Notamacropus eugenii: one gene and its partners. The protein of the gene in region 2 interacts with the protein of the main gene of each other region in a biochemical or structural test. Links are inferred from orthologs where the notes say so. Each region holds a gene or a part of one and is shown on either strand. Other genes may lie near its edges.

Region 1 (7,186 bases), on a different chromosome or scaffold from region 2:
GGTGGTGGGAAAGAGAGATGTTAGATTTTGGTTAATTGAAAAAAAAAAGTTAATTAAAAAAAAAAAGGACCCAAGACTGTAAAACTGGGTAAATGGAAAAATAGTAGTACCCTCAATACAAACAGGTAAATTTGAAGGAGGGGTAACAAGGAAATAAAAGGCAATTTTCACTGATCTACAGTAAAAGTGCATAACTTTAAATTCTCTCAATAAGGCAAAGGTCTTCCGGTTAAATTAATAGGACTGGGTACGGAAAGACTGCTATAGAAGGACACTATCCCTGGAGCTTACTTTCTGAGAGAACCAGTCAGGAGGTCGGCCAGGTTCAGCAAAGGGCTTGATTGCTCTGCTAACTGACACCCTACAAAAAAAGAAAAAAATAAGGACCTTCAAAGCATCAGTCTTGGACCACAACATACTATAAAACTCCATCATGAGAGGACAAAAGATATGCTGGTAATTTCAGGTCCACAGGTTAGGAGCCACACTTTTAAAACCAAAAGGAGTACAGTTAGGAACAGCGAAGGAACAGACTTTGAATATGGGAGTAAATAAACAACGTAAAAGTCATTTAGAATGAAAAGAACATTCCTCAGTAGAACTTCTAGATGAGAAAGAGAAAGAATAGGTACCTAATGCTCTATCAGTTTGGGGAATGTGTCAGTATTCTTATTGTTATGACTCAAATGCCTTAAAAATAAATAAGTATAGTGTCAGTTCAAACTACTTCACTAGACATTTTGTGAAAAGCTGGGTTGGATTTTATACTGCAGTCAAGTTAAATATATGAGTATGCTGGGTTTAACAAACTGGCACAGTTTATTGTTTATTCTAGTCTTTGGTTCTGTTATCACTTGAGGGTTTACAAAGAAATTTCCTCACAATAACCCTGTGAGGCAAATAATACAAGTATTATCATGCTCCTTTTAAGGATGAGAAAACTAAAGCTCACAGAGTGGGGTTTGCCCCGATTACACAAAGGTGACAGAACTAGGATTCAGCCTCTGATCGGACCAAAACTACCCAAAAACAAACACAGCGTCTCTGCACCACATTACACTCTCAACTCGATGCACGATGCGCATCAACAACAGCCAACAGCGCCATCACACCCCCATGTGTAACAGCTTACATTTACATAGTGCTTTCCGGTTTCCAAAGCAATTGCCTCCCAACACTCTTTTAATATAGGGGGTTTACAAGTACCATTATCCCATCTTGCAGATTTAGGGCAGTCGTTACTAGGCTTTGTACCTGAAGACCCCTTTTTAATGTAAAATAAATCCACTTTTTTGTGACATTAATTTTAACATTAACATATAATGACTGAGAAATTACCTAATGACTAAAAGATACGAAGAAATCAGAAACATTTCTACAACTGGCATTTTATTAATCCCTGAAGCATCTGGATATATTTGAAATACCCCGTATTTACAACCATTACACAGGAGCTTCTGGAACGAAAGGCAATGCTTTTATACGTATGGATTTACAGACAGATACCCGGGAATCACTTCATGTGTTCATAAGTAGGGCACCACTAGATTAGGAGGTACCACAGCTGTGGTTTTTAACTAAGCCCAGGGTCACCAAGTTCATCAATATTCATTTAAGCAGGAAATCAGGCCCAGATCTTTTGACTTCAAGGTCAGTAGATTTTCCATTACATTATGAAGATAAGGGATGGCTCCTGAACTGTTGCTACTTACAAGGTAGAGAGTGACTGATATTAATCTCTACCACCACTGGACATGCTTCTACAAATACAGGGGAAGCAGTTCTCAAGTTTTTCATTACAAGATTCCATCTAAGGGCCCAGGTAAACACCAGAAAGCAAGCAAAGTTTCCTGTAGAGAACAATATCTTCTACTTAATGAGTGACTGAGTTCTCATTTAAACTAATGGTATAACTCCAAAATTGGAATCAGATTGAGGAAGAAAAAAATTCTAAAAATTGTATTTTAACTATTAACAGAAAGAGCAGACAATTAGTCAAGAAGGTGCTCATTCTTTTCTGAAAATCACAAAAAGGCTAAACTAAATCTTAAGATTCAAGACCCTTCTCTTTTACTCCCCTGGAACTTCACAATAGTCTGAGATAATGGTTAAGGATTTACACTATCTCCTGGCTCCTATGGCTCAACTAACCCCCGAGTACAGGAAAGCCTCCCAATAATTTCAATGTCCCAAGCTCCTGCTATCCTACATTTGATATCCCAAGTATCTTACCAGTTTTGATCTCCACTCCTCATGACAGAGGAGGCTAGACACAGCTTCTCCCGAATAGACCAGGGTTCTGTGGGGCCAGTACTCAGCAGCTTGTGTTCTGTAGAAAGAGGAAACTCAGTGAGAGTCCATTGAGAAGACACCAATCCCAGGCAAAGGTCTAACACTATTCCAATCAAGTGAACTAAACCAGATTGGTCTCAATACAACTCTTTACATCAAAAATTGGGTAGCAACCCACTGTGGACCAGGACCTGCTCTATGCCTTCAAATCTCAACAATCCACCTTAAGAATAAGGTAAAGAAGCAGTTGAGTAAGACCTTAGAAATCATCTAGTCCAGGGGTTCTTAACTTTTTGTGTCTCAGACCCCTTTGGCAGTCTGGAGAAACCTTTGGCTCCCCTTCTCAGAATTTTTTAAATGCATAAAATAAAAAGGAAATCAAATATCAAGGAAAACAAATATCAATTTTTTAATCCAAATTCAAAACCTTCTTGAAATCTATTTAAGGCCCTATCCATAAATTCCAAATTAAAAGCCCCTGGTTCTAGCCCAATCGCCTTATTTTACAGTTGAAAAAAAAGGAGGCTAAATCATTTGCCCACTACCTCTCACACTTCGTAAGCAGCAGAGCTGGGATTTGAACCCAAGCCCTTCTAACTCCATAGTCTGGACTCTTTCAGGTGTACCACAATGCATCTGGTCCACCAACGCCTCTTTTACCTCTCAGTTTACAGTTTAGGAAACTGAGGCCTAAAGATCGCAAGCTATAGGTCTAAAAAATGACAGTAATCAAATCCAGGCTAGCACCCAGGCCTCCTGAATCCGAGCCTTATAATCTTTCCACTGCAGGGAACGTTGTTGTTTTTCAAAAAGCGGGGGGAAAAAAAAGAGGGGTGGGCCGCCTAACGTCTAAGCGGCCCTCCCAGCTCTAAAATCTGTCTACGCCACTCCGGATAGAAAGCTCGGCCCCCCCCGCAGAGACGCACAAGGCAGGCCTGGCTCCCGCGCTACACGCCTCACTAAGAAACCTGAGCCGCTCCCCGCAGACCAGGCCGCAGGAGGCCTCGCCCCGCCCAAGCTGCGGGAACGCGGCACTCAGACGGGGGAGGCAGGGAGGGAGGGGCGAGGGCAGATAGAGGCCTCCATCCACCGGTCTCTCCGGCGCTCGAAGCCTCGCTGCCCCGCCCCCTCCCCCTGGGGCTCCGCACACGACCCAGGCCCCTCCATAAACAAGCCCTCTTCGGCGGCCCCCTCGGCAAGCTCGAGTCTCGCCTAGCGCGATCTCACAGGGCCCCCAGGCCCAGCGCTCTGCGAATCCCAACCCTCGAGCTGGAAGCGGGAAGGGGGGCGGTCGGGAGGGTTCTGCCACAACCGCCGCAGCGGCCCATCCCCGAGCAGCGCAGACACTCACTGCCCGTCCCTGTCGCCATCTTGGCCCCGACTCTTCCCCCTTCCCGAGAAGAGGCAGGTCCTTATCGGACTGCGCCCCGAAGGACTCTGGGAAATGGAGTGCGAGCCCTGAGTTGACACCACACACAACCAGATGCCCTCTGGGAAATGGAGTTTATTTGGGGTGGGTGGTGTAGAGTTGGGGAGGAGTCTCTAGTTCTCGGGCAAGCTTCTGGATAAGAAAACGGTAGGGCGAGGGATGATGGCCTCACCTTTGGGTTTCCCTTCACATTTCATGGGGGGACAGGCTGTCGGGGGTTCTTAAGGGCGGGCAGAAGCCCTGGCCCGGAGCCCGGAGCCCAAAGGCCCACGCAGCGACGGTTGGTAACCCTGCCCGCCTTCTGAGCGCCATGATTGGCGGATGTGATCTCGCCGCCGGATTGGCTGACAGAGCAGAGCGCGTCGTTTGAAACCTTGCCTCCGAAACAAAGCTGCCCCTCGTGGGTGGAGCGGAGCTGGGCTGGGGGCTGCAGGGCTAGCTGGGGCTGGAGGAACGCGGCGGCCAGCGGCGTCTTCTTCACCCTGGGAGAGTAGAGACCTGGAGCGCCAGGGGAACCCGGAGAGAGTTCCGGTACTGGAGGCCGAGCTGGGAAAGTCTTCGCGCTAACGGGTAAAGGCCTGCACTCCCCGCGGCTTGGTCCTTCGCGGGCGCCTCTCACCGGTGAACTTGACCCCGGAGCCCTTCGGCCACGGCTTCCCTAATAACCTGCCTGGGGCGAGGGGCTGGGCTGCGAGCCCCCTCTCCGAGGCCCGGTGGATGAGGGGGGGGGGTCTCCGTATCTCCCCGCAGCTAGAGCCGGAGCTCACGTGTGGGTCGGTGGTTCGGGGGGCCGAGGCTTTCCCAGGAGTGAGCCTTCTCCCGGGTCTGGGAAAGCGGAGAATGGAGGGAAGAACGGGTTCCCACCTCAGGTGTGGAAGGTGCTCGTACCCTCTCCCTGAAGCCCCTTTCCTCTCCCAGGAGGAACGCGCCACCGTGGTCATGTCTCGGGGTATCCTGACCCCGCCTGTCGGCTTCCTTTCGGATGAGGACATCGTCGTGTCGCCCGTGTTCGAATCCACTGCTGCTGATTTGGGAGTCGGGATCCAAAAGGACCTGCTGTCGGAATTCTCTGCCATCTCCCCTCCCCCGATAGAGGACAAAGAGCAGGTAAAGTCCAGCGAGATGACGCCCACTCATGCATCCCCTCCTAGCCATTCCCACGCACGCCCTCATGCAGAGGTATGCATACCTCCCCACCCTCATCTTGGTGCAGGTAACGTGCTGGCTTTTGTTGCACGTTTGTGGGTTAGGTCTTAGGAGGAAGGAGGATGTTGAGAGAGGAGGACAAATGACTTTTCTTCAGTCTCTTAGCATGAGTGTAGCAGTAGAGGGAGGTCTATACGACTTCCCTAGTGTGTCTGCTGAGTAATCCTGTGATTGCTATGATTTCAGGCTCAGAGGTAGTTGTTTAATCTAATCAGTGGGGCTCTTGGCTGGGTTTCTGCCACAGGTTGTACCTGAAGATGGTGCAGAGAAGGTAAAAGTATACTTGAGAGTCCGACCCCTGCTGCCTTCAGAGGTAGAGAGACAAGAACAGGTGAGTGCCTTGGGAAGCACACGTTATGATATGATATAAAAGGGTAATGAGACTGCCCCCTTCTCCTAACATGTTTATGTATGTTTCATTTGCTAGGGCTGTGTTCGAATCGAAAACCCAGAAACGCTTGTTCTGCAGGCACCCAAGGACTCTTTTGCTATGAGAAGCAATGAGAGAGGTGTGGGCCAAGCCACTCATAGATTCACCTTTTCCCAGGTATCAAGCTGGAAGCACTTTCAACAAGGCTGCCAGTGAGATGTATAACCAGTGGGAAAATGTTTTTCTATATGTTTGCCAAGAGGAAGATCCATAAAGTTGTTGAGTCCATAGTGGTCTGGGGAGTAATTGTTGTTGCGTTTGTCCTTCGTTCTCAAAGAAGACCATGACATAAAGATGATGACATGACTTGCAGTTGACTTTGATTTGAGTGAGGGAGGGCTGTGCCAGGTCACCAGCCTTATTTCTTCTGAGCCATCTGGGTCCAGTGGCCTGATATTCATCAGGATACAATGGGAGATCCTGGTCCTGTCTTATCACATCCTCACTTTGAGTGAGATACACCCATTCAATGTTAAGTAGTTACTCAAAGGATGGCCCCTTTAATCCAAAAAAAAAAAAATCAAACTGGGAGGGGAAGACCCTCAGGATTTCTGAGTAAAAGAGAAACAGCTATTGTTTAGTATTTAGATACCAAATAGGTCTGGGGAGTAATAGAGAGTTATGGGAGGAACTGACTTTCAGGGGTAGGGATTAGGCTGGTGGAAATGAACCTATGTTAAAAACAAGGAGGAGACTTCAAGGAACTGTATTCTTCCTAGATCTTTGGACCAGAAGTAGGACAGGCATCTTTCTTCAACCTGACAGTGAAAGAAATGGTCAGAGATGTGCTCAAAGGCTACAACTGGCTCATTTATACATATGGAGTGACTAACTCTGGAAAGACCCATACTGTCCAGGGTGAGTGAGAGTCAAAGCATCATGAAATTCTGGTGAGTTTCTAGAAGGATCTTTTAGCGTTTCAAGTGCTAGCACTCAGCTCTCCTTTTTTATGTTTCTAGGTAGCAACAAGGATGGAGGGATCCTACCTCGTTCTCTGGCTCTGATCTTCAATAGTATTCGAAACCAGCTCTACCCAGCCTCTGACTTGAAGCCTTCTTTTGCTAATGAAGTGATTTGGCTAGATAGCAAGCAGGTGAGGCAGGAAGAGATGAAGAAGACAGCCCTGCTGAATGGCAGCTCTCGTGAGGTCAGTACCCAGAATCGCATCAATGAAGGGCAGGAGTACTCCGAGGAAATCTTTGTATTTATTTTCTCTTGGGGTTTCTCTAGGAGGAAGTGATAAACTCTCTGAAGAAAAGCCACAACACTGAATCACTACCGCTGGGGAACAGTGCCAGTTTTGACAGTGGCATTGCTGGACTCTCTTCTACGAGCCATTTGACTAGCCAAAGCAGTGTCAGCCTCAGCCAAATGGAGGGTATATTTTTTTAACTTTAAGAAAATTTTGTCATTTCAGTGAACACAGTCTATTTTTTCCTCCTTCCCACCTCACATTGTCTTTACCCCTTACTGAAAAAAAAAAAAATCAAACCCTTGTAAGAAGTCCTTGTGAAAGGCATGTTTTTAAACTTACCTCTACAAGTACATTTTCTTCTGTAGAAATCCAGAGTTACTGTTATTAGGAGTGAAAGCCCAGGGTGATTCTTTGCTATTGAGACGCAAGCATGATGATCAAAGCTAGGCTTGTAGCTGACTATTTATTGTACCTTCCACAGACACATCTTGTAGATGGGCTGAGCCAGATACTGCCCCATTCTGTGTCCCAGCTGATGTCCGGTTCTCTATCTGGATCTCCTTCTTTGAGATCTATAATGAGATGATCTTTGACTTGTTGGAGCCCCCCAGCCAGCAGCGAAAGAGGCAGACAC
Region 2 (7,113 bases):
CTTCCTTCTATCATTCCCCCACCCTCCTACACCCCTGCTTATCCCCTTCTTTCCTGTAATATAAGATAGATTTTCATAGCAAATTGAGTATGCATGTTACTCCCTCCTTAAGTCAAATGTGATGAGAATAAGGTTCACTTTTTCCCCTCTCACCTCCCTTCTCTTCCCTTCCATTGAAAAAGCTTTTTCTTGCTTCTTTTATGTGAGAGATAATTTGCCTCATTCTATTTTTCCCTTTCTCCTCCCAATATATTCCTCTCATACCTTAATTTTATTTTTTTAGATATCATCCCTTCCTATTCAACTTAACCTGTACCCTCTGTCTATATGTATATAATTCCTCCAATTACCCTAGTACTGAGAAAAGTTTCAAGACTTACAAATATTATCTCTCCAGTTCAACTATAGTAAGTCCCTTATGATTTGCCTTTCCTGTTTACCTTTTCATGCTTCTCTTGATTCTTGTGTTTGAAAATCAAATTTTCTATTCAGCTCTGGTATTTTCATCAAGAATGCTTGAAAGTCCTTGATTTTATTGAAAAACCATTTTTTCCCCTGAAGTATTATACTCAGTTTTGCTGGGTAGGTGATTCTTGGTTTTAGTCCTAGTTCCTTTAACTTCTGGAATATCATATTCCAAGTCCTTTGATCCCTTAATGTAGAAGCTGCTAGATCTTTTGTTATCCTGATTGTATTTCCACAACACTTGAATTGTTTCTTTCTAGCTGCTTGCAATATTTTCTCTTTGACCTGGGAGCTCTGGAATTTGTCTACAGTATTCCTAAGAGTTTTCCTTTTGGGATCTTTTTCAGGAGACGATCAGTGCATTCTTTCAATGTTTATTTTACCCTCTGGTTCTAGAATATCAGGGCAGTTTTCCTTGATAATTTCTTGAAAGATGATGTCTAGGCTTTTTTTCTGATCATGGCTTTCAGGTAGTCCCATAATTTTTAAATTGTCTGTCCTGGATCTATTTTCCAGGTCAGTTGTTTTTCCAATGAGATATTTCACATTGTCTGCTATTTTTTCATTCCTCTGGTTTTGTTTTATAATTTCTTGTTTTTTCATAGTCATTAGCTTCCATATGCTCCATTCTAATCTTTAAGGAATTATTTTCTTCAGTGAGCTTTTGGACCTCATTTTCCATCTAGACAATTCTGCTTTATAGGGCATTCTTCTCTTCATTGGCTTTTTGGATCTCTTTTTTCATTTGGGTTGGTCTATTTTTTACAGTGTTATTTTCATCAGCATTTTTTTGGGTCTCCTTAAGCAAGTGGTTGACTCGTTTTTCATAATTTTCTTGCATCACTCTCATTTCTCTTCCCAATTTTTGTTCTACTTCTCTTACTTGATTTTCAAAATTCTTTTTGAGCTCTTCCATGGCCTGAGACCAATTCATATTTTTCTTGGAGGCTTTGGATGGAGGGGTTTTGACTTTACTGTCTTTTGTTTGCATGTTTTGGTCTTCCTTATCACCAAAGTAAGATTCTATAGTCTGATTCTTTTTTCAGTTTTTGCCCATTTCCCCAGCCATTTATTTGACTTTTGAGCTTTTTGTCAAGGTTGATCTCTGCTTCCAGTGGGGGTGGGGGGTGTACTGTCAGTAGCTCGATTCCCCCACAGTCAGTGGGCCTAGAGCTCCAGAAACAGTTGCTGTCTCTGCCCCTACTGCTGGGAGTTCCTCCACCCCCTTCCCTCTCTGCTGCCCTGGGGCTGGGGCCAGATCATTCCACTCTCCCACACTGGTCCTACAGGCTTTCTCTTTTTCCACTGAACTTCCAATTTGTCCTTGGCATTTTGGGGTCTTGAAGTCTGGAAACTGTCACAGATATGAGAGACTCAGTCTCCCCAAGGCCTGCTCAGGTCCTGTCTGTGCCAGCGTGGCCCACACTGCACTGCGTCCTGCCCCCAGAGTGGTGCAATAGACACTTCTCAGCCACCTTCCAGGCTGTCTTGGGCTGGAGATTTGCTTCATTCCATCATTCTGTGGGCTCCGAAGCTCCAGAATTGGTTTAGAGTCAGTTTACTGGTATTTAGCTGGGCTTGGGAGCAGCACTCTAGAAAGTGTGTGCCGTTACTCAACCATCTTGGCTTGGCCCTGTTGTTACACTTATAACACAGAATGCCAGACCTGGAAGGACCCTTAGCCATAGTTGGGAGGGACCTTAGAACACTGAGTATGAGAGCTGTTAGGGACTTCAAAACAGAGAATGTCAGAAGTGAAAGGTGGCTTAGAACATAGAATGTCAGAGCTGGGAGAGACCTTAGAACACAGAATGTCAGAGCTGGGAAGTCCTTTATTTCAGTAATATCCAATTTAAATAGAAACAGGGGGCACACATACATATATGAGGATTTCTACGTGTCCTATATTGACTTAAGTTTTAAAATGTAATGGCATCTGTTTTGTTGTATTTTTATGTATTTTGCTAAGTATTTCCCAATTACATTTTAATGGAACTGTGATAGGCTGCTTGTGGCCTAGGACCTATGTGTTTCGACACCTCAGCTTTAGAACAAAGAATGTCAGAACTAGACCCTCTCATATTACAGAGAAATAAAGTGATGATGTTTGGTGGGGCAGCTATATGGGGAAACAGATAGAGCATTGGCCCTGGAGTCAGGAAGACTCATCTTTGAGGCCTCAGATCTTTACTAGCAGTGCCATCCTGCGCAAATCACTTAAGCCTGTTGGCCTCAGTTTCCTCATCTATAAAATGAGCTGAAGAAGGAAATGGCAAACTGCTCTATAATCTTTGCCCAGAAAACCCCAAATGGGGTCACGATGAATTGGAAAGGACTAAACAATGACAACTATATTGTTGGCACAGCTCTAGGTGCTGGGGGATGCGGTTTAGGGTTGCTGGGAACCCTGAAATGTCAGGGTGCAGAGAGGTGTCTGCCTGGAAAGAATCACACACTCACACCATCTTTTAGTCAAAATGGCAAGGTTTATTGTAACACCAAAAGTGGTGGTGAGATTCTTAGTGAATCTGCAACTTAATGGGGGGTGGGCGGGGAATGATGGTTAGGATAAAAAGGACGGTGAAAGGACAAGGATGGTGTTAGGGAGTAGTCTGAGTGATCTCGCTGAGCTTGGGTGAGCCAGATGCTTTGGTGTAGGCACCAGTGATCTGGGCTACTGAAACGTATCGGAAAATTCAGGGACTGGGTTGCTTCCAAGGGCATGGTCTGTTCCTTTTAGGGGTCCAAGTCCCATCACCCCATCACTGAGGATGCATTAAAAGGCAGTCTCCTCTTTCCGGGAACTCCGTCTGTAAAGGCAGAGACAGCGTGCAAACAATTACGTACAAACGGATTATTTGGACAGTTGTCGGGAACCTGGAGGAGGGGACCGGTGGTAGGGAGACCAGTGGAGGGGTACCAAGAGTCCAGAAGAGGTGGCTGGAGACTGAAATAGTCACTGGGGGTCTACAGCGTTTAGGAGACGGAGAGGCAGGAGAGGCTTGTGAGAAGATGGGGTGGGGGAGTCCCATGGGGAGAGGGACTGATTTTAGGGGCGCTGTGGGGAAGGGCAGCCAGAGGACAGGATGGAGTAGCTATCTCGGTCCAGAATGGGCTGGCTAGCCCAAGTAGAAAGGGAGACCCGGTGGAGCGAGGGATTTACTCTAAAGGAAAGGGTGTGGGGAATGGGATACGTAGAGTGATACCGGCGAATACTGACGTCACGCTAACGTTTGCGAGGCCAGAGCGTAGACATGCGATGCAGCGGAGGGAGGGGGGAGTGGGAGATCCTGGCGCACGTGGCCCCGGGCGCCAGGCCCTGGCTAGGCCTCTGGCGGTAACCGGCGGGGGAAGGGACGCTGCAGCCCTGCTTCTCGGCGGGGCTGGAGTCCACCTGAGATAACGCACGTGTTAAGGCGGTTGGCAAACTTCTGAATGGCAGCATTATTAGGATTATTTCCGGGGGCTGGGCGCAGACGATGGGCGGGTCGGTGGGGGGGGGCGGAGGAGGCGAGCGAGGAATCCGAGGCCCGACTCCCAGACAGCGGGGCTGGAGGTGGGGTGTCCACAGGTGGCACGCCCCCGCCGCCGTTGGAACCGTTCGGACCTCCCGCCGGTCTCGGCCAGGCCCCGCCCTCCCGCCACACTCTTCATGGCCGCCCTGGCGCGCGCCGCCGCCTCTGCCCCCGCCGGCGCTGAGCCGCTGGCTCTGCGTGTGTCCTCTGCCCTCTCCTTTCGCGCTGTCATTGGGCAAATTCACCTCGGTCACCTTCTATTGGCCCGCTGGGTGTGGCGTCAGCTTCTTCCTCCCTTGCTCCTCCTTTCCCTCCGCCCTCCGCCCTCCGCCCCGCCCCCTCCCCACGCCCGTCCACTCCTCCTCCCTTTCTCCTCGCCAGTCCCATTCTCCCCACTTTTCCACTTAGGGTCGGCGTAGGTGGCTGGCCCGGGAGCCAACGCCGAACCTGGGAAACTGGGGAGCAAGCGCGCTCCCGACCACCAGCCCCGCCCGTGCTCGCGCACGCACGCGGCACGTCACGCTGTCGCGCTCGCGCGCCTCAGCGGAGAGGCTCGCGCACTTGAGCAGGTTCGGCTGCGGCGGCGGATCTCCAGGCTCTCTGGGAAAAGGGGGCGAGGAGTGGCTGCGGCGCTGTCCGTCCCTCTGCTCCTCTCCCTCGGGTAGCTTGTGGTGCGGAAGGGCGGCGCCGACCGCCGCTCCTGTCGAGCCGTACGAGGCCGACTCCGACCCCACCCCCATCTCCTGGTCGGTCCGTCCGTCTCCACCCGCATCTTTGCAGGATCCCCCCCGCTTCCTGCCGCTCCTCCGCCCTACGTGTCTGGGCTGCGGGGAGCCCGCGGGGCCTAAGGAGATCGCTGGGTGAGGCGGCGGCCCCGGCTCCATCATGTCTGCCGGAGGGGACTTCGGGAACCCCCTGAGGAAATTCAAGCTGGTGTTCCTGGGGGAGCAGAGCGGTGAGTGCCCCCCGCTCCGGCTGCGCTGCTGCTGCCCCCGCGGCCTCCGGCCGTGCGTCTGCTGCCCGCCCCCCGCCTCTCCCTCCTCCCTTCCCGGCTTCTCCCGGGCCTGAGCTCCGCCTCGGCCCTCCGCTCCCCGACTCCTTCCCCTTCGGGCGCAGACTCCGAGGCCCTACTGTGTGCGGGTGGCTGCCAGGCCCGGGCGCCCCCGCTTCCTCCGAGTGCCGCACTCAGTCCTCCTCGGACCCCTGCCCCGTCCTTCCCCGTCTCTCCTTTCTCGGCCCTTATCGGAGTTCCAGAGTCTAGGTCTCTTCTCTGTCTCTATTTCCCTGGGCCCTCCCCTTGGGCCTGGGAGCCCGGCGCCTTTATGCGACCCGCGGAAGGTGGAGGCTGGTCGGGATCGGGTGGGATCTGGGCGTTGCCCCTTCCTCCCTCGCCCTCCTTTGGCCTTTGGAACTGAGGATCGAGTCGTCCGTGCCTGAGGATGGGGCGGGGGCTGGAACGTCTTTGGATCGCTCTCTCCCCGGGGGGTTGGAGCAAAAATCTCCTGGAATCGGCCGTGATGTCGGGGTTTTTGTAGGCGGCACTGCCCTTGGACGTGGAAGGGTTAGGCAGCGACGTGCTAAACATCTCAGAATTCTTCTCTTGACTTTCCATTTCCTCACTTAGGATTTTTGGGTAGTTTTGATTGCTTCCCCCCCCCTTCTCCCATCGCCGCCTGGTGCCTTGTCATGATCCATTTACTTGGAATTTCTCACCTTTCTTTTTCGCTTTCTCTCCTCCCGACATCAACTAGTGTCTGATTCTCCTACCCACAGGAACCCATGGATAATCATCAGTTATTTCTATTAGAGTGTTTTCCAGTTATAAATATGTTGAGGATTCTTGGGAGAGATGGTTTGGTACAAGTTCTGTTGGGGAAAAAATTAACAGCTAACTAACGTCTTTTTTGAGGGGATAGGAAGGGATGAAGAAGAGTGTCAATGATCTCGTTATTTAAATTTTAAGAAGTGATACTTAGCTGAAATTTTAAGTGGCTTAAGTCTTAAGTATTAATAATTCCACAAATAAGATTCCCTTTTGGTATTTGCCTAGGTTAGTTCTCTGAATTAGGCTACAAAGTTTTAATTTTGTAATGGTTGTCTTTAAGGTTACTATTTGTAGCAATTTGTTGTATGTCAGTTTTATAGCATTGATACCTAGTTATTTATTGGGAGATAAGAAGGATTATATATCACCTATTTCTTCATTAACCAGTTTCTCCCATTTTTATCTTTAAGAGTCAAGTTGTTGGGAAAATTAGTGTTTGCCATAGAAAAAACATGTTAATACTAAATTCAGAAATATAATTTTCGCCTACAAAAACTTCTGTAGCCCCCAAATGGATTAGCATCAGTTGAATAGTATCTGTCAAATTTTTGTACCTCATTCTATGAAACCAGTCCAGACTGTTTTTTCTTCCTTTATGTGCAAATTGTTCTTATGTAGTGAACAGAGAAAATGTTTGGCTTATAAATTTACAGGAAGCAAGTTTAGACTTGTTTTCCAGTGAGTTACCTGGTATTAGTATGTATGAAGTTCCTGATCCTGCCATTTTATAGCATTTTTAGGCTTAGTATGAGTATAAAATAACCTACTCAAGTAAATATTGATGTGTAGACTGTAAAGTGCCTCTTGTGCACTCTGAGGATGCCATTGCTTGCCTCTTGGTGTGATGCAAAGCTATTTAGTTTGCTTGAAAAAGCCATTAATTTATGTCTCTCCAAGGAAAATTTTAGCCTCAAGTGTACCTGTCTTTTTTACTATTAAAATATGAGCAGGTTTCATTTGAATTTTGGGGATGATGCTATTTTGATTCACGCTGCATATTTTAGGGCCTTAAATTCTTCAACTTAGTCTAAATTGATCATATTTTTCTTTGTAGGCTCATGTTTTTTATCTTAAAAAAATTTTAAGTTATGTGTTATTTTGAGGTGAAACTATAGCTGTTTTCAATTTAACAGGAACAATTTGGGTTCTCAAGGCACATTTGCTTTCTTCTCCTCTGTTAGCAAAAGCTTTCTGAATCCATGGTACTATTTTTGTGATGACGAATTACTTTTAAGTCTTAGAATTCCAAAATTCAGTTTCTAGTTATCCTGTTGATACATTATACTAGAGTGTGCTATGTTTCATATC
Region 3 (7,472 bases), on a different chromosome or scaffold from region 2:
GCAAAAACCGGAAAAAGAACCAGACTATAGAATCTTGCTTTGGTGACAAGGAAGACCAAAGAATGCAAACAGAAGAAAACAAAGTCAAAGCTCCTTCATCCAAAGCCTCCAAGAAAAGTACAAATTGATCTCAGGCCATGGAAGAGCTCAAAAATGATTTTGAAAATCAAGTAAGAGAAGTACAGCAAAAATTGGGAAGAGAAATGAGAGTGATGCAAGAAAATCATGAAAAACCAGTCAACTACTTGCTAAAGGAGACCCCAGAAATGCTGAAGAAAATAACACTTTAAAAAACAGACTAACCCAAATGACACAATAGATTCAAAAAGCCAATGAGGAGAAGAATGCCCTAAAAAGCAGAATTGGCCAGATGGAAAAGGAGGTCCAAAAGCTCACTGAAGAAAATAATTCCTTAAAGACTAGAATGGAGCAGATGGAAGCTAATGATTTTATGAAAAATCAAGATATTACAAAACAAAACCAAAGGAATGAAAAAATAGCAGACAATGTGAAATATCTCATTGTAAAAACAACTGACATGGAAAATAGATCCAGGAAAGATAATTTAAAAATTATGGGACTACCTGAAAGCCATGATCAAAAAAAGAGCCTAGACATCATCTTTCATGAAATTTAACTGTTCTGATAAACTGCCCTGATATTCTAGAACCAGAGGGTAAAATAAATATTGAAAGAATCCACCAATCCCCTCCTGAAAAAGATCACAAAAGGAAAACTCCTAGGAATATTGTAACCAAATTTCAGAGCTTCCAGGTCAAGGAGAAAATATTGCAAGCAGCCAGAAAGAAACAATTCAAGTATTGTGGAAATACAATCAGGATAACACAAGATCTAGCAGCTTCTACATTACGGGATAGAAGAGCTTGGAATATGATATTCCAGAAGTCAAGGGAACTAGGATTAAAACCAAGAATCATTTATCCAGCAAAACTGAGTATAATACTTCAGAGGAATAAATAGTCATTCAATGAAATAGAAAACTTTCAGACATTCTTGATGAAAGGACCAGAGTTGAATACAAAATCTGACTTTCAAACACAAGAATCAAGAGAAGCATGAAAAGGTAAACAGCAAAGAGAAATCATAAGGGACTCACTAAAGTGGAACTGTTTATGTTCCTATATGGAAAGATAATATTTGTAACTTTTGAGACTTTTCTCAGTATTTGGGTAGTTGGAGCGATTATATACATATAGACAGAGGGTACAGGATGAGTTGAATAGGAAGGGATGATATCTAAAAAATAAAATTAATTGGTGAAAGAGGAATATATTGGGAGGAGAGAGGGAGAAATGGAATGGGGCAAATTATCTCTCATAAAAGAGGAAAGGAAAAGCTTTTTCAATGGAGGGGAAAAGAGGGGAGATGAGAGGGAAAAAGTGAAGTTTATTCTCATCACATTTGGCTTAAGGAGGGAATAACATGCACACTCAATTTGGTATGAAAATCTATCTTATACTACAGGAAAGTAGGGGAGAAGGGGATAAGTGGGGTGTGGAGAAAGTAGGGCAAATGGGGGGAGGGGTAGAAGTAAACACTCTGGGGGAGGGACAAGGTCAAAAGAGAGAATAGAATAAATGGGGGGCAGGATAAGATGGAAGGAAATACAGTTAATTTTTTGCAACATGACTTTTACGGAAGTCTTTTGCGTAACTGCACATGTACAATCTATTTTGAATTGCTTGCCCTCTCAGTGGGGATGGGTGGGGAGGGAGGAAGGGAGAGAAGTTGAAACTCAAAGTTTTGAAAACGAATGTTAAAACTTGTTTTGTACATGCAACTGAGAAATAAGAAATACAGGTAATGGGGTATAGAAATCTATCTTGCCCTACAAGAAAATAGAGAAGATGAAGATAAGGGAAGGGAGGGATGTGACAGAACAGAAGGCAGATTGGGGAAAGGGGTAATCAGAATGCGTGGTGTCTTGGGGTGGGGAGAGGGGAGAGATGGGGAGAAAGTTTGGAACTCAAAATCTTGTGGAAATGGATGTTGAAAACTAAAAAGAAAGAAAGAAAGAAAAGGTCAGTCAGCCTCTGAAGGGCATGGTTGAGTGATGAAATTTGATCCTGGCTTTCAAGGCACAAACTTATTAGTTGGTCAGAAAACTGTTTCTTCAGGTTTTCATTCATCATGTATGTACGTACGCATGCATGCATGCATGCATGTATAGGTATCCACATCTGTATATGTATACACACAAATATATGTGTGTATACATATGTGTATACACACATGTATATACACACATGTATACATGTACACACATACATATATACACACATATATATGTATGTATATACACACATGTATACATGTACACACATACATATATACACACATATATATCTCTATATATACACAGTTAATGTCAAGCAGACCAGAACTAGCCTCTTACTTGGGAATGGCTATAGCCAAACAGAGCAGTCCAGAAGCAGGTGTGTGAAGGATTTAACAGAAGTTTAATTAATTTCAGAGTAAGGAAAACACTTGCAAGTGTAAGTCCCCCTTCCTTACCTGGGAAATAGGGCTAAACATTTTCAAGCAAAGGCAGAAAAACCACATTTTCAGGCAATGGCAGAAAAACCACAACACAATCATTCTTAGGTCTGGAGTAGCAGTTCCCACAGCAGGCTTATGTGTGGACAATGCAGGTATACCTGGGTCCTATGGGAACAGTTGTTAAGTTGATTGATCTTAAGGGTTGTTGAGCTTTGTGATTATTCAGTGGTGTACAGAACCAGAGTTAGTGTTACAAAAAACAGGGATTCTGAACATGTCACGCGATATTATGGATGGCCTCAGGCTGCAGCATGTTGGCTGTCATGTGACTGGGAAAAAGGGGGAGCTCCAACAAACAGTTATAGATTAGTATGAAAATCATAAATCCCTCAGTGAACCCTTGGTGCTGGTCAAAGCAATACACTTTGCCACAGGGCAAGATCATCCAGAGTGCAAAGGATTGTTGTTATGTCAAGCTCCAAATACTTTGACAATACAATAAAATTTACTGAGAAGGGTACTCAATAAAAAAAAAAAAACAACTTTGGAAGCCCCTGAGAGAGTGGAGGAGAAAAGCAGAAAGGAGATATGAGTGGTAGTATTGAAGGAAAAATTCTTTGTTTGGGCTTTCACCCTGATTAACGAGGGAAAATTAAGATTAAAGATAATTAAATGGAGTTTATTATAAATAAGTCAAGGTAACAACATATTATTTGTTCTTGGGCTGATTGCTGAAGACCATTGATGACTTCAAGGTGGTGTTAGTTTTGATTGATAACTTTCCTAAGGAAATACAGACAATTCAGATAGGTTAATGTCAGCAAAATAGGTTGGATCCTTGAATCTCAGTTCCTTCCTAACACAGCAAGTATAGACAATTTGCAGGTAGGGTACAAACATCACAAGAAGGGTATGTGACAAAGAGCAGGTAATGCAAAAAGCTACAGAATTGGTGTCCCCTTCCCAGTGGAGCCTCCCCCAACACTGATTGACAACCAGGGGTGGCAACAACGAATCATTGAATCAATATAACTTTCAAATGTGTGTGTGTGTGTGTGTGTGTGTGTGTGTGTGTGTGTATAATATCCACCCCAGTACATATCAAAACAAGTTTTAATATTTGGGTTTTTTTTCACGTTTTGAGTTCCAAATTCTTTCACCCTCCTCTGCCCCCCCAACTAGCTACCCTTACCCCTCCCTGAGACTGTAAGCAATCAGATATATTTTATACACGTACAATCAATCAACATAACTTTCAACAGAAGAATGGAAGAGAGAGAAGGTACAAAAAGGACTTTCCGCCAACATGGCATAATGCAAAGTGTATTGGACCCTGCAGTAGCAGAGCCCTGACTTCTAAAACCCAGATGTGACCTTTATATGAGCATGAATAAGAGCATACTTTTTTTTTAATTTGTGAAAGAGGGGATACTCCATAATAAGTACCTTAGTAGGTGGTTGTAAGGAGCAAATGAAATCACGTGTGGAAAAGTGCCTGGCAAGACTTACAGCTCTCCTAAGTGTCAGCTAATACTACGTAAGGGTGGAAGGAGAGGAGTGGAGGAGAGCTCTAAGTGTGAAAGCAGATTGAAAATCAGAATAGCGGTATTGCCCGGTGGCGGTCCCGCGTGGTAAGTCTATTTTAATCAGAGAGACGGGCAGGGGCATTTCTGCACTCGCCCAGGGTGGCTGGAGGGTTTCGCAGTCCTAGGGTTTGTTGGTCACAGAAGACCAGGAATGAATGCCAGGCAGGAGCGCCTGGCTGCGGCCAAGCTTTTTCTTACCCGGTCACTGAGTGAGGCAGCAGCAGACCCTCCGGGGCTGGCGAACACACCCCTCCCACCTCCTGCGTAGGGCCGGGCTGTCTCCCTTTCCCTCCTCTTCCTTCTCGCCCCCTTTCTTTGCCTTCTCCTCTTCCTCCCCCTTCTAGTCTCGCCCCTGGCTGTCTCCATCCCCGCCTCGGCCGGGCCCCGCCGCCGCCCCTGGCTCCTTGTCTCCTCCCACCAGGCTCTGCCAGTGGCCCCGGAGCGGCCGCCTGGGGGCTCTTCTGGGAGCCTGGAGTCTCCGGTTAGCCGCTGCCTTCCCTCCCTCCCTTCCTCCCTCCCTCCCTGCCTTCCTCCCATTCGTTTCCTTCCGGAAGGGAGGGGGCCCGGACTGCATCATTCTGCTCCGCTGCTGCAGGGCCAGAGGAGCAGGTGGAGAGGGAAGGGGAGGCTGGCGGCGGAGTGCCGAGACCGCAGTGGCGCTGCCCGGAGGGATGGCGGCCCCGAGCCTCTGAATAAGCAGAATCCACCGGCCGCAGCGCGGCACCATGCCGCGGACCGGCCCCGGCCCCCAATGAATGGTGCGGCCGCCGCAGCCTCTTCGCGAATCTTCTGCCCTTCCTTTTCCACGTTACATTTCCTTCCCAATATCCAGCCGCTGTGGTCGCTGCCGGCAGGAAAGCTCTAGGGACACGTCCATCCCTTTCGCCGCCGCCCCCCGTTATTTTCCTGCCTCCCTCTAATTCCTCCCCAGCCCCACCCCACCCCCTGCATCTTTTCTTCCCCCCTCCCGTTTCCATCCATCACTGGAGCGATGGCTGCAGAGGAGGTATTGCAGAGCGTGGATCACTATAAGACTGAGATCGAAAGGCTGACTAAGGAGCTCACGGAGACGACCCACGAGAAGATCCAGGCTGCCGAGTACGGCCTGGTGGTCCTGGAAGAGAAGCTCACCTTGAAGCAGCAGTATGATGAGTTGGAGGCGGAGTACGACGGCCTTAAGCAAGAGCTAGAGCAGCTCAAAGAGGTGAGTTCCCAATGGCCTTTCTCCTCGCCCACCATCCCCAGACCGATCCTTAAAAAACAAAGACGGGGGTACACGGAATGCATCGCTGGAAAGAACCTTGGCCTTGAGGTCAGAGGACCTGACTTCAAGTTCTACCTCTGACTTATCTGCTTGTCTACCTGTATGACCTTGGGCAAGGCACTTAACTTGCTGGGCCTCAGTTGCCTCATCTGCAAGATGAGTGAATTGGACTAGATGACCACTCAAAGGTTTCTGTGGCCCTTGATCTATGATCGTATGAGCTGACTCTTTATCTGAATGTGAGCTCAGTTAGCCAGGTGCTTTTGATAGAGTTCATTGTTTCCATGTAAGAAAAATGCCTAAGGAAATCAGTATATATCTGTATATTGGAAACATGGAGATAGGATTTGTGGGGGGAGGAGAAATTCATATTTATATTCAAGTGGAGGTATATGAAAGGATTAAGGATGATTTGGGGGTGATTAAATAAAAATTTAAAAAGCCAATGTTGTTTCTAGCCTGGATTGCAGCAAGAATCCTCTAGGTAATTAATAGATTTGAGCCTGGGGAAGTCACAACTTTAATTATTAAATTAAAAATACCTTAGTCATATATCTGAATATCCTGTTCTTTAGTCATAAGGAGAAAACATAGTATTAGTACATCACTGAAGGCTTGGCCTCTCTTTGCTTCTGTCATTCTTGTTATACTGTACAAAAGGTAAACAACTCTTACTGGTGATGATGTAGATGCCTTGTTTTCACCATTGAGTGAGGTAGCACTCTTCAGTGTGGGCAAAGCTTCAAAGTAGAGATGAGGTCATCCTGCCCAGTAAAAATTAAACTTCAGAACAAATGACCTGAAGAAAACATAAATCTTGAACTGGGATGTAACTGTGAAGTGTAGCTTTACATTTTAAATGAGGTTATCAATTAGAAATAAGGAATTGATAGAGAGAGAGATTGGACCTGTGCTTTCATGGATACAGGGAATTCCCAGATGAAGAAACTCCCTCTATCAATGGAGGAAGGCTTCTCTGTAACTTATCTTCTTAGAGTGTTACCTACAATACCGAAAGGTTAAGAGACTTTCCAGGGTAATTTAACTTGCCCACTTGCTATACCACCATTACTCTATAGGGTAGTAAGTAGTATTTGATGCCCTCACTCCTTCCTCCACCCCTTCCTTTATAGCTCTATCTGCATAACCTCTCCTAAGGTATCAATAAAACCATAATATTACAGATGGAGTATGTATAACTCTCGTTCTACCTAATATTTGGATGATTTGAAGTTTTATTTTCAGCCTAGACTTAGTTTCTTTGCATATGGGCAACAGTTCTACAACTTAAAGGACTAGAGAATTGCGTGGGATTTCAGGTTTCAGTGACTTGTCCAACTTTAAGTAGTTAGTATGTGTCTGAAGAGGAGCTTGAACTCAGGTCCAGCTCAAGCCATTTCTTTACCTATGTCTTTTTTTGTGTATTATTCAATAAAATGTAGCATGTTGGAAAAATACAATGCAATATCAGTCAATTTTTGATCAAGCCTTTTAAGCAATTTTATGGTAAAATTTTTGTAGTTTAGGTAAACTAATGCAAAAACTCCATGCAAAAAAAATTCATGGGACTCCGGAAACTTTCTTGCAACACACTTATTTTTACACAGACATTTCCTATTTGACAGATATTCTTACCTGTATTATGTGTGTGTATGCATATGTATACATATATATGCATGTTATTTATTATGTGCCAGCCACTATACAAATATTATTTTATCCACAGCCCTGGTAGGTAGTTTCTATTGCTATCATTCCCATTTTACAGTTGAGAAAAATGAGGCAAATGGAGGTTGAGGGTCTGAGGCTAGATTTGAACACAAGTCTTACACCTGACCTAGCACAGTATCCATTGTACTATCTAGTTGTTATTTGGTAAATGTTTGTTGAATTGAATTGTATTAGGAAATAAATTTTTAAAAGTATGAAGGCAAAAATTTGAAAAACTAAGCAAATCATTTTCACCATAGACAGAAATGAGAAAAAAAGGATCAGTTTAAGGGTTTAAAGATGAGTTAAACATTATGATTTAAAAAAAAATAATGAATGACTTGTGGAAACATACTAGTCCTCTTTCCCATATTTACTCTTTTAAAAATATG

The links.
Region 1: the proteins of RAB6A (region 2) and KIF20A form a complex in vitro, tested with the Homo sapiens proteins (2 studies listed by BioGRID). The link is inferred for Notamacropus eugenii from reciprocal best matches to the Homo sapiens genes RAB6A and KIF20A.
Region 3: the proteins of RAB6A (region 2) and BICD1 form a complex in vitro, tested with the Homo sapiens proteins (3 studies listed by BioGRID). The link is inferred for Notamacropus eugenii from reciprocal best matches to the Homo sapiens genes RAB6A and BICD1.

The regions. Positions count from the first base shown.
Region 1 is NC_092872.1:365,308,809-365,315,994, forward strand, and holds the start of KIF20A (kinesin-like protein KIF20A), read left to right. Parts: upstream 1-4,170; 5' UTR 4,171-4,291; intron 4,292-4,639; 5' UTR 4,640-4,660; coding exon 4,661-4,828; intron 4,829-5,171; coding exon 5,172-5,258; intron 5,259-5,354; coding exon 5,355-5,474; intron 5,475-6,076; coding exon 6,077-6,215; intron 6,216-6,316; coding exon 6,317-6,504; intron 6,505-6,587; coding exon 6,588-6,735; intron 6,736-7,033; coding exon 7,034-7,186. Other genes in the region: BRD8 (bromodomain-containing protein 8), read right to left, coding at 292-361, 2,233-2,329, 2,838-2,928. UniProt on the Homo sapiens protein: Mitotic kinesin required for chromosome passenger complex (CPC)-mediated cytokinesis. Following phosphorylation by PLK1, involved in recruitment of PLK1 to the central spindle. Interacts with guanosine triphosphate (GTP)-bound forms of RAB6A and RAB6B.
Region 2 is NC_092876.1:131,569,971-131,577,083, forward strand, and holds the start of RAB6A (ras-related protein Rab-6A), read left to right. Parts: upstream 1-4,234; 5' UTR 4,235-4,420; coding exon of another isoform or gene 4,421-4,865; coding exon 4,866-4,935; intron 4,936-7,113. Other genes in the region: uncharacterized protein, read right to left, coding at 3,692-4,234, 4,421-4,867. UniProt on the Homo sapiens protein: The small GTPases Rab are key regulators of intracellular membrane trafficking, from the formation of transport vesicles to their fusion with membranes.
Region 3 is NC_092874.1:215,033,330-215,040,801, reverse strand, and holds the start of BICD1 (protein bicaudal D homolog 1), read left to right. Parts: upstream 1-4,456; 5' UTR 4,457-5,097; coding exon 5,098-5,310; intron 5,311-7,472. UniProt on the Homo sapiens protein: Regulates coat complex coatomer protein I (COPI)-independent Golgi-endoplasmic reticulum transport by recruiting the dynein-dynactin motor complex.